Xenopus tropicalis: one gene and its partner. The protein of the gene in region 1 interacts with the protein of each later gene in a biochemical or structural test. Links are inferred from orthologs where the notes say so. Each region holds a gene or a part of one and is shown on either strand. Other genes may lie near its edges. The genes, in order: pias4 and top2a.

Evidence for each region.
Region 2: of the proteins of pias4 (region 1) and top2a, one has a biochemical effect on the other in vitro, tested with the Homo sapiens proteins (2 studies listed by BioGRID). The link is inferred for Xenopus tropicalis from reciprocal best matches to the Homo sapiens genes PIAS4 and TOP2A.

The regions. Positions count from the first base shown.
Region 1 is NC_030677.2:93,058,375-93,062,124, reverse strand, and holds part of pias4 (E3 SUMO-protein ligase PIAS4), read left to right. Parts: intron 1-93; coding exon 94-178; intron 179-789; coding exon 790-831; intron 832-1,420; coding exon 1,421-1,511; intron 1,512-1,623; coding exon 1,624-1,752; intron 1,753-3,750.
Region 2 is NC_030686.2:8,643,359-8,647,182, reverse strand, and holds part of top2a (DNA topoisomerase 2-alpha), read right to left. Parts: intron 350-3,824; coding exon 175-349; intron 1-174. UniProt on the Homo sapiens protein: Key decatenating enzyme that alters DNA topology by binding to two double-stranded DNA molecules, generating a double-stranded break in one of the strands, passing the intact strand through the broken strand, and religating the broken strand.

The DNA of each region.
Region 1 (3,750 bases):
CTTTTTATTGTTTAATCATTTTCTTAATCCTGTATATAAAATAAACACATGGATTTTTTTCTTGTTTTTTTTGTTTTTATTGTTTTTATTCAGTTGCTCAGAACAATGAAAAGTTGCAAGACAGTCCATGTGTTTTCGTCCTGTCCCCAAGGCAAGTGGACTTGATCAAGAACTCCAGGTAATGGCATTCTTTATAAAGATGTAGTCCACCTTTTTTTTTTTACATTTTTTTTTTTCCTTAGACCAGTGAAACACGAGAAAATTAGTCACGCTGCAGTAGTGACTAGGGTTAGTTAGTTAAGCCTCACCAACCGGTTAAGTTAAAATTCTTAAGGCCAGGGACGCACAAGGAGATAAGTCGTCACCCCACTATTAATCTGCTCTAGCAGTGGCAACTAATCTCCTGTAAATCGCCGGTAGGACAACGTGCATTCAAAATCGGAAAACTTTTTTTTTTTTTTGTTTTTAAGAGTGCCTGCCAGGCCTAGCAGGCTACCCACTAAGGCGCTATCTAATAAATTGCACCCCATATACATTGTTTCTGAAATGTAAAATATTAATGTAAACAGTTTTTTTTAGAATGTTAAATGTTTTTAACGAAGAGAAGTTATAGCAACACTGCATACATTCATCCAAGTAGATGTCCAGTGAGCAGTGATATCTGTAAATAATTGTGTATGACTACACTTCAGTATATTGTTTTTCCACCTTATCAAAAATCATACAAATCTGTCTAACCATTATATTATTTATTTTGCATCTGACATTGTCTGCGTTTCTCCCTTCTAGGGATTTGCACCCTGGAACCAAATCTGTTCAAGTTGTTCTAAGGTAAGGCACCGGAGCATATACCTAAAAACTAAATTTTAGACTTGAAGGAGAAGGAAAGGCAAAGTCACTTGGCTTACAGGAGGCTTTATTTGGTAGTAAATCTTTTTAGTAGTAAATCGTTTTTATTCAACGAAAACTTGCCACCAAGCCAGGAATTCAAAAATAACTTCTTGGTTTGGGGGCACTGAGAGCAACATCCAGGGGGTTGGTGAGTAACATGTTGCTCATGAGCCACTGGTTGGGGATCACGGTCTAGATGGTTTTATATAGTGAATAATGTCCCCTCTACTGTAAAATATCACCATATAAAAGCAAGAGTTAGTGAGTCATGTGACCGAAATTACATCACTAAGCACTGTTTATAAGGATATAATTTACAGCAGGAAATGCATGGCTCTTGGCTATTTCTATATGTATAATATCTCTATCATAAACCATGAGGATTAAGGTCTCATTCAGGTTCAGTGCTGTATTTTCATATTTTGCTAGAAGGTGTATTTACCACATCTTGACGATGCCCTTCTTCAGACTTGTTTTTTAGTTATGATAAATAAATGGTAACGTATTGTAAATTATTTTTCTACACCAGGATTTGTTACACAGACACGAGCTGTCCACAGGAAGATCAATATCCTCCCAATGTTGCTGTGAAGGTTAATCATAATTACTGCTCTGTTCCGGTAAGTTAAGAACTGTAAATTTTGTTGAATTTTTATTACATCCATCCATCCTAATAAGTGCAATTAGTGATGCTATGCCCCCCCCCCTTTTTTTTTTTTTTATAAATCTTAGGGATACTACCCTTCAAATAAACCTGGTGTGGAACCTAAAAGACCATGTCGTCCCATTAACCTAACAAACCTCATGTATCTCTCATCTGCTAGCAACCGAGTCACAGTCACTTGGGGTAATTATGGCAAGGTGAGTATTTATGGGTCTGGAACCACTTTTGACTACTTAGATTTTTATTTTTCTTCTTTACATTGCACTGTACTCATACTGCATCTTTCTTATAATAACCTACACATACCTCTCTTTTCTACATTTAATTTTCAAAAAAATGACGTTTCTAAAAACCCTAAAGATATTGGGATCTTATTTAACCAGTGAACTTCTATCTACTTGAAGTTGGTATTTACAGAGACTGCAGTTGCCGATGACCAAGGCCACCTTACAGTCAGGGTTGCTTTAGCAATAGTGTTGGCAGGGGAAGATGCTACATTCCCCTCAAAGGCATGTGTGACCTTTTTTTGGTAAAATACAGTTGTGGGTGTGAAAGCAATGAACCTACTGAATCTACAATATAATGGCCATAGTGATTCCACTGGGAATCTCTGGTTTAATGTGGCAAATGTAAAAACTAATTTTCTCTGTTGTCCTGTATCCTGTTAATGGAACACTAAAGTGTTTTAAAGCAATTAAAATATAATGTACTGTTGCCATACACTGGTAAAGATGTTTCAGAAAGAGTACCTTAGTTTATATAAAAACTGCTGTGTAGCTAGCCAAAGGGACAGCCATTTAAATGCTGAAAAAGGAGAAAAGGCACAGTTTGCATACCTGATCAGCTCTGTAGAATACAAGGATAAGGACAAGAAGAATAGATTTAGTTCTTACACAGGAAGATAAGTGGTTCAGATGCTATTCAAGACTGAAAAAAGCTTTCTTATAGAAAAAAATGTAAGAAATTTGTAGGTTCTGGATCAAAAGATGCAAACTTTTTGAATGTAAAAACATTTTTTATTCACTTTTTGACAAATTACTAGTCCTTTTAGTGATGACTGCTGTCCCTGCTCATCCCCCTCGCCTCACCTTATCCCAGTCCTCTTGTTGCCTTGAGTGGTCAACCCCACCCAGCACTACTTGTTGCCTGGCCACCTTATGTGTCTTAGCATCTTGCATGGCTACCCAGAACTTCTCTGTCTAGCATGACTACCTTGGTCTACCCAAACCAGTGGGCTTGCAAACAGTTGAGGCAGGTGCCTAGTGCTTTTTTTTTTTTTTTTTTTTAAACTGAATTTTTGAAACTTGTCATTACAATATTTTCTTTAAAAAAAAAAGCACTAGGCACCTGCCTCAACTGTTTGCAAGCCCACTTTGGATAAAGGGTGTCCAGATAACTGAATTTTTGAAACTTGTCATTACAATATTTTATCTGGACACCCTTTATCCAAAAAGTTCCAAAATACAGAAAGCCCATTTCCAATACACATTTTAAAGGAGAAGGAAAGGTAAAAACTAAGTGAGCTTTATCAGAAAGGTCTATGTTAATACAGTCTTAAGAACTTACAATAATGCTGCATCAAAAGGAACACAGGATTTCTTGTCTCTCTTTTTGTAAACATGATGTTCCAGTGTCTGACTTCCTCTCTCAGAAACATCCTTAATTCCCAGGGCCATAGTCTGAGCAGCTCTCTTCTTTCTTCACTCTCCTCCCCCCTCCCACCAGAATGCTCTAGCACTCCCTCCCCCCTCCATTAGGAATGTGTGTTCTGAACTATAATGGCTAGACTGCAGGAAGGAAGCTACTTTAAATGGCAGCTGCTGTCTTAAGCAAAGGGAGAAAGCTTCTAAAGCTGTTTATTCAGGTATAGTAATGCTTTCTGCAGAATAAATATAGTGTTCTAGGTTCTATGTGGCAAATCTATTGGCAGTAAAATGCCAAAATGACTTTCCTTCTCCTTTAATCAAATAATTGAAAATTTTAAAAGGATTTTTTTTGTGTGTGTAATAATAAAACAATACCTTGTACTTGATCTAAGCTATAATTCAGTCTTTATTAGAGGTAAAACAATCCTGTTTAATGTTTAAATGTTTTTTTTAGTTGGCTTAATGTATAGTGTGTAAAATTACGGAAAGGCCCCTTATCTGGAAAACCACAGGTCCATGAGCGTTTGCATATGCAAATAAAGTTGTGTA
Region 2 (3,824 bases), on another chromosome or scaffold:
CATGTTGTCTGTATAATACTAACATTTAGAATCTACCAATTTCCATCAGGATGCCAGTAAGGTAGTTTCCAATCACATAGTTTTTTAGTAAGCAGCATTATATGCTGGAAACAAAATTGTCACCAAGAAATGGCTTAAGTTGATTTGTACCTAAAGGGAGGGGAGAGTACTCACTTGGGCGCAGCTCTGGGCTTTTTGGCTGGCTTTGCAACTACAAAGGATTCATCTTCTGAATCAGATTTTGGGTTGAAATCACTGAATTCACTGTCACTCTTCTCCTGAGGCATCTTTATGCCACTTCCCTCTTCTTCACCGTCTTCATCAGAGCTCAACATATAGTTCACTTTAGCTAAAAGCAAATAAAAGCATTTGTTATCAAGCAGAACCCTTTTATGTGGTAACACATTCCATAGCAGGCCTAGGCAACTATCAGTAAATGAATGAATGAATGATGAAACAATGAAGAGGCTCTAAAATCAAACAAAAAAACACCCAGCATCTTATTACCTGTGATAAGGAAATTTATGTACTTGCGGTTAAATCCTTTTCTCTCCAGTCTTAAAGGAACAGTAACACCAAAAAATGAAAGTGTATAAAAATAATTACGATATTATGTACTGTTGCCCTGTGTTGGTACAGCTGATGTGTTTGCCTCAGAAAGACTACTATAGTTTATATACAGAATGCTGCTGTGTAGCCATGGTGGCAGCCATTCAAAGGAGAAAAGGCACAGGCACATAGCAGATAACAGATAAAGTCCCATTATATTCTACAGAGCTTATCGGTTATCTGCTATGTAACCTGTGCCTTTTCTCCTTTTTTACAGGTTGAATGGCTGCCCCCATGGCCACACAGCAGCTTATTTATATAAGCTATATTACTGTTACTTTAGCAAATACACAACTTTACCTGTGCAGGGTAACTGTACATTATATTTTAAATACTTTAATACACTTTCATTTTTGGCGTTACTGTTCCTTTAAGGTGGCCATACACGAGCAGATCTGCTCGCTTGGCGATGTCGCCAAGCGAGCGGATCTTCCCCCGATATCCCCACCTACGGGTGGGCGATATCGGGGAGCATTTAGGTAAAAAAAAAAAAATCAGATAGTTTGGCCCTGGGGCCAAACGATCGGATTATGTGGGCGGCAATGGGGCAGTCGGATCGGGGACCGCATCAACGAGCCAATGCGGTCCCCGATCCGACCGGATTTTCTAACCTGGCCGATCGAGATCTGGCCAATTTCAGGCCAGATATCGGTCGGCCAGGCCGCTCTGCTCTCCCCATACACGGGCCGATTAGCTGCCGAATCGGTCCAAGGGACCGATATCGGCAGCTATAGTCGGCCCGTGTATGGGGACCTTTAAGGGGGACACAGGGGCCGTGGGGTAAAGGGCCCCTCCCATCAGGAGGCAGGACACTGAAGAACAGAGTTGAGGACCCTCCTCCTCCTCTCCCTTTATCCCCTCTCAACCCAGAAGGGATTCAGTTTGTAACAAAGAATTAACTCATAGCCGAACTACAACTCCCAACAAGACTGAGGATAACTAAAACAAGAGTTCAGGGAGGGAAGCACTGTGTCCCCCTTACGACTGGAGAGAAAAGGATTTAACCGTAAGTACATAAATTTCCTTTTCTCCCACGTCTAGGGGGACACAGGGACCGTGGGGACGTACCAAAGCCACCCCACATTAGGGAGGGAGAACTCTGCCCGTTTAGGAAACTACTGCCTGGAGCACCTTCCTTCCGAAGGCTGCCTCCGCCGACAGGTAAGTGTTGAATTGATAAAATCTGGTGAAAGTGTGAAGAGAGGACCAAGTAGCCGCTCTGCAAACTTGCTCAGTCGATGCAAGGTTCCGGTGTGCCCATGATGTTCCCAGAGCTCTAGTAGAGTGTGCTCTGATCTTGATTGGTGGTACCTTCCTCTGTGTCAGGTAGGCTCGTCTCACTGTCTCTTATCCATCGCGCTATAGTGAGTGGTTTTCGTGGCTGGGAGACCTTTTCTTGCTCCTGACGGAATCACAAACAGTGTATCTGTCTGTCTAAAAACTCGAGTGTGAGAGATCTATGTCTGACCACGTCCAGGCGATGTTAACTCTTCTCCTTGTCGTTCTTAGGACTACTGCAGAAGGAAGGCAAAACAATCTTGGTGTTTATGTGGAATGAGGATACCACCTTGGGCAGAAAATCGGGGGTTGTCCGAAGTACCGCCCTATCTTCATGTAGGATTAGAAATCATTCTGAGCAGGATAAAGCCCCCAGCTCTGGCACTCTTCTGGCGGAGGCTATGGCGACTAGAAAAACTGTTTTCCAAGTGAGGAATTCTACTCCCACTTCCATCAGTGGCTCAAAGAGGCTGTCAAGGAGGGCGTTCAGAACCAGGTTAAGATCCCACAGAGGTATAGGGTGTCTGAACGGAGGAGAAATGTGAGCCTGAAGGAACTTGCAAACATCCTCCGAAAGGGCTATGCGCTCCTGGAATAGGATTGATAGAGCCGAGACCTGCGTCTTTAGGGAGCCCAGACGGAATCCTTTCTGAAGGCCTGCCTGGAGGAATTGTAGGATTCGAGGAACACTGAATTCCATGAACGAGATCTCCTCATCCTCACACCACCGTCGGTAGCACTCCCACACCCGGTGATAGATCTTTGACATTACCGGCTTTCGGGCCCTAATCATGGTCATGATTACGTCTTCCGAAAATCCCTTCTCTCTCAGTACTGACGCCTCAAGAGCCATCCCGTTAAGACAAAGAGGTGGGGCTTGTGATGGAAGAGAGGAACCTGGGACAGAAGTTGTGGGAATACTGGAAGTTCTACTGGAGGTTCTAATGACATCTCTAGAAGACTGGAGTACCAGGATCTCCTGGGCCAACGTGGTACAACGAGAATTACCGTAGCCGGTACCGTTGCTATCTTCCTCAGTACGCGTGGTAACATTGGGGGGGGTGGGAACACATATGCCAGTCGAAATTGCCATGGGATGGTCATGGCGTCTACCCCTTCCGCCAGGGGATCGCGGTACCTCGCATAGAATCTGGGTACCCTTCGATTGTGCCTGGAGGCCATGAGGTCGATTTCTGGCACTCCCCATTTCTGTGTCAGGCAGAGAAAGCCGTCCTGGTGTAGTTGCCACTCTCCTGGATCCAGATGTCTGCTGAGAAAGTCGGCCTCTACGTTGCTCACTCCTGGAATGTGAATTGCGGATATTTGGGTGGCCGTCCTTTCCGCCCACTCTAGGATGAAGGTCACTTCCTGGTTTGCCCTGCTGCTTCTTGTGCCGCCCTGTCGATTTATATATGCCACTGCTGTGGCATTGTCCGACTGAATTCAAACTGCCTGGTTTCTCAGGAGATGTTCCCATGACTGGAGTGCCCGAAGTATGGCTCTTAATTCCACTATGTTTATTGGAAGACTGTTTTTTTCCCTTGTCCAAATTCCCTGTGCGGCTCTTCCCTGAAACGTTGCCCCCATCCGGTGAGGCTGGCGTCCGTGGTTACGATTAACCACGCTGGTTCCAGGAAGCTCCTTCCCTGTGTTAGCCGTTCTTGTGTTAGCCACCAGGTTAGCGAGCTCACAATGTTTTCTGGTAGGGTTATTCTCTAATGAAGGGTTGTCCTGTTTCAGAGTCTTAACACCGTCGTCTGGAGATGTCGGAGACGGAATTGGGCGAATGGGACTGCCTCCATGGTGGAGACCCTCAGTTCCAGGACTCTCATGCACATCTGGATCGTTGGGTGTGCTGTCGTTCGGAGTAGTCTGACCGATTTCTGAATCTTGAGCTGTTTCTCCCTGGGGAGGAATACTTTCTGAATCTGTCTGAA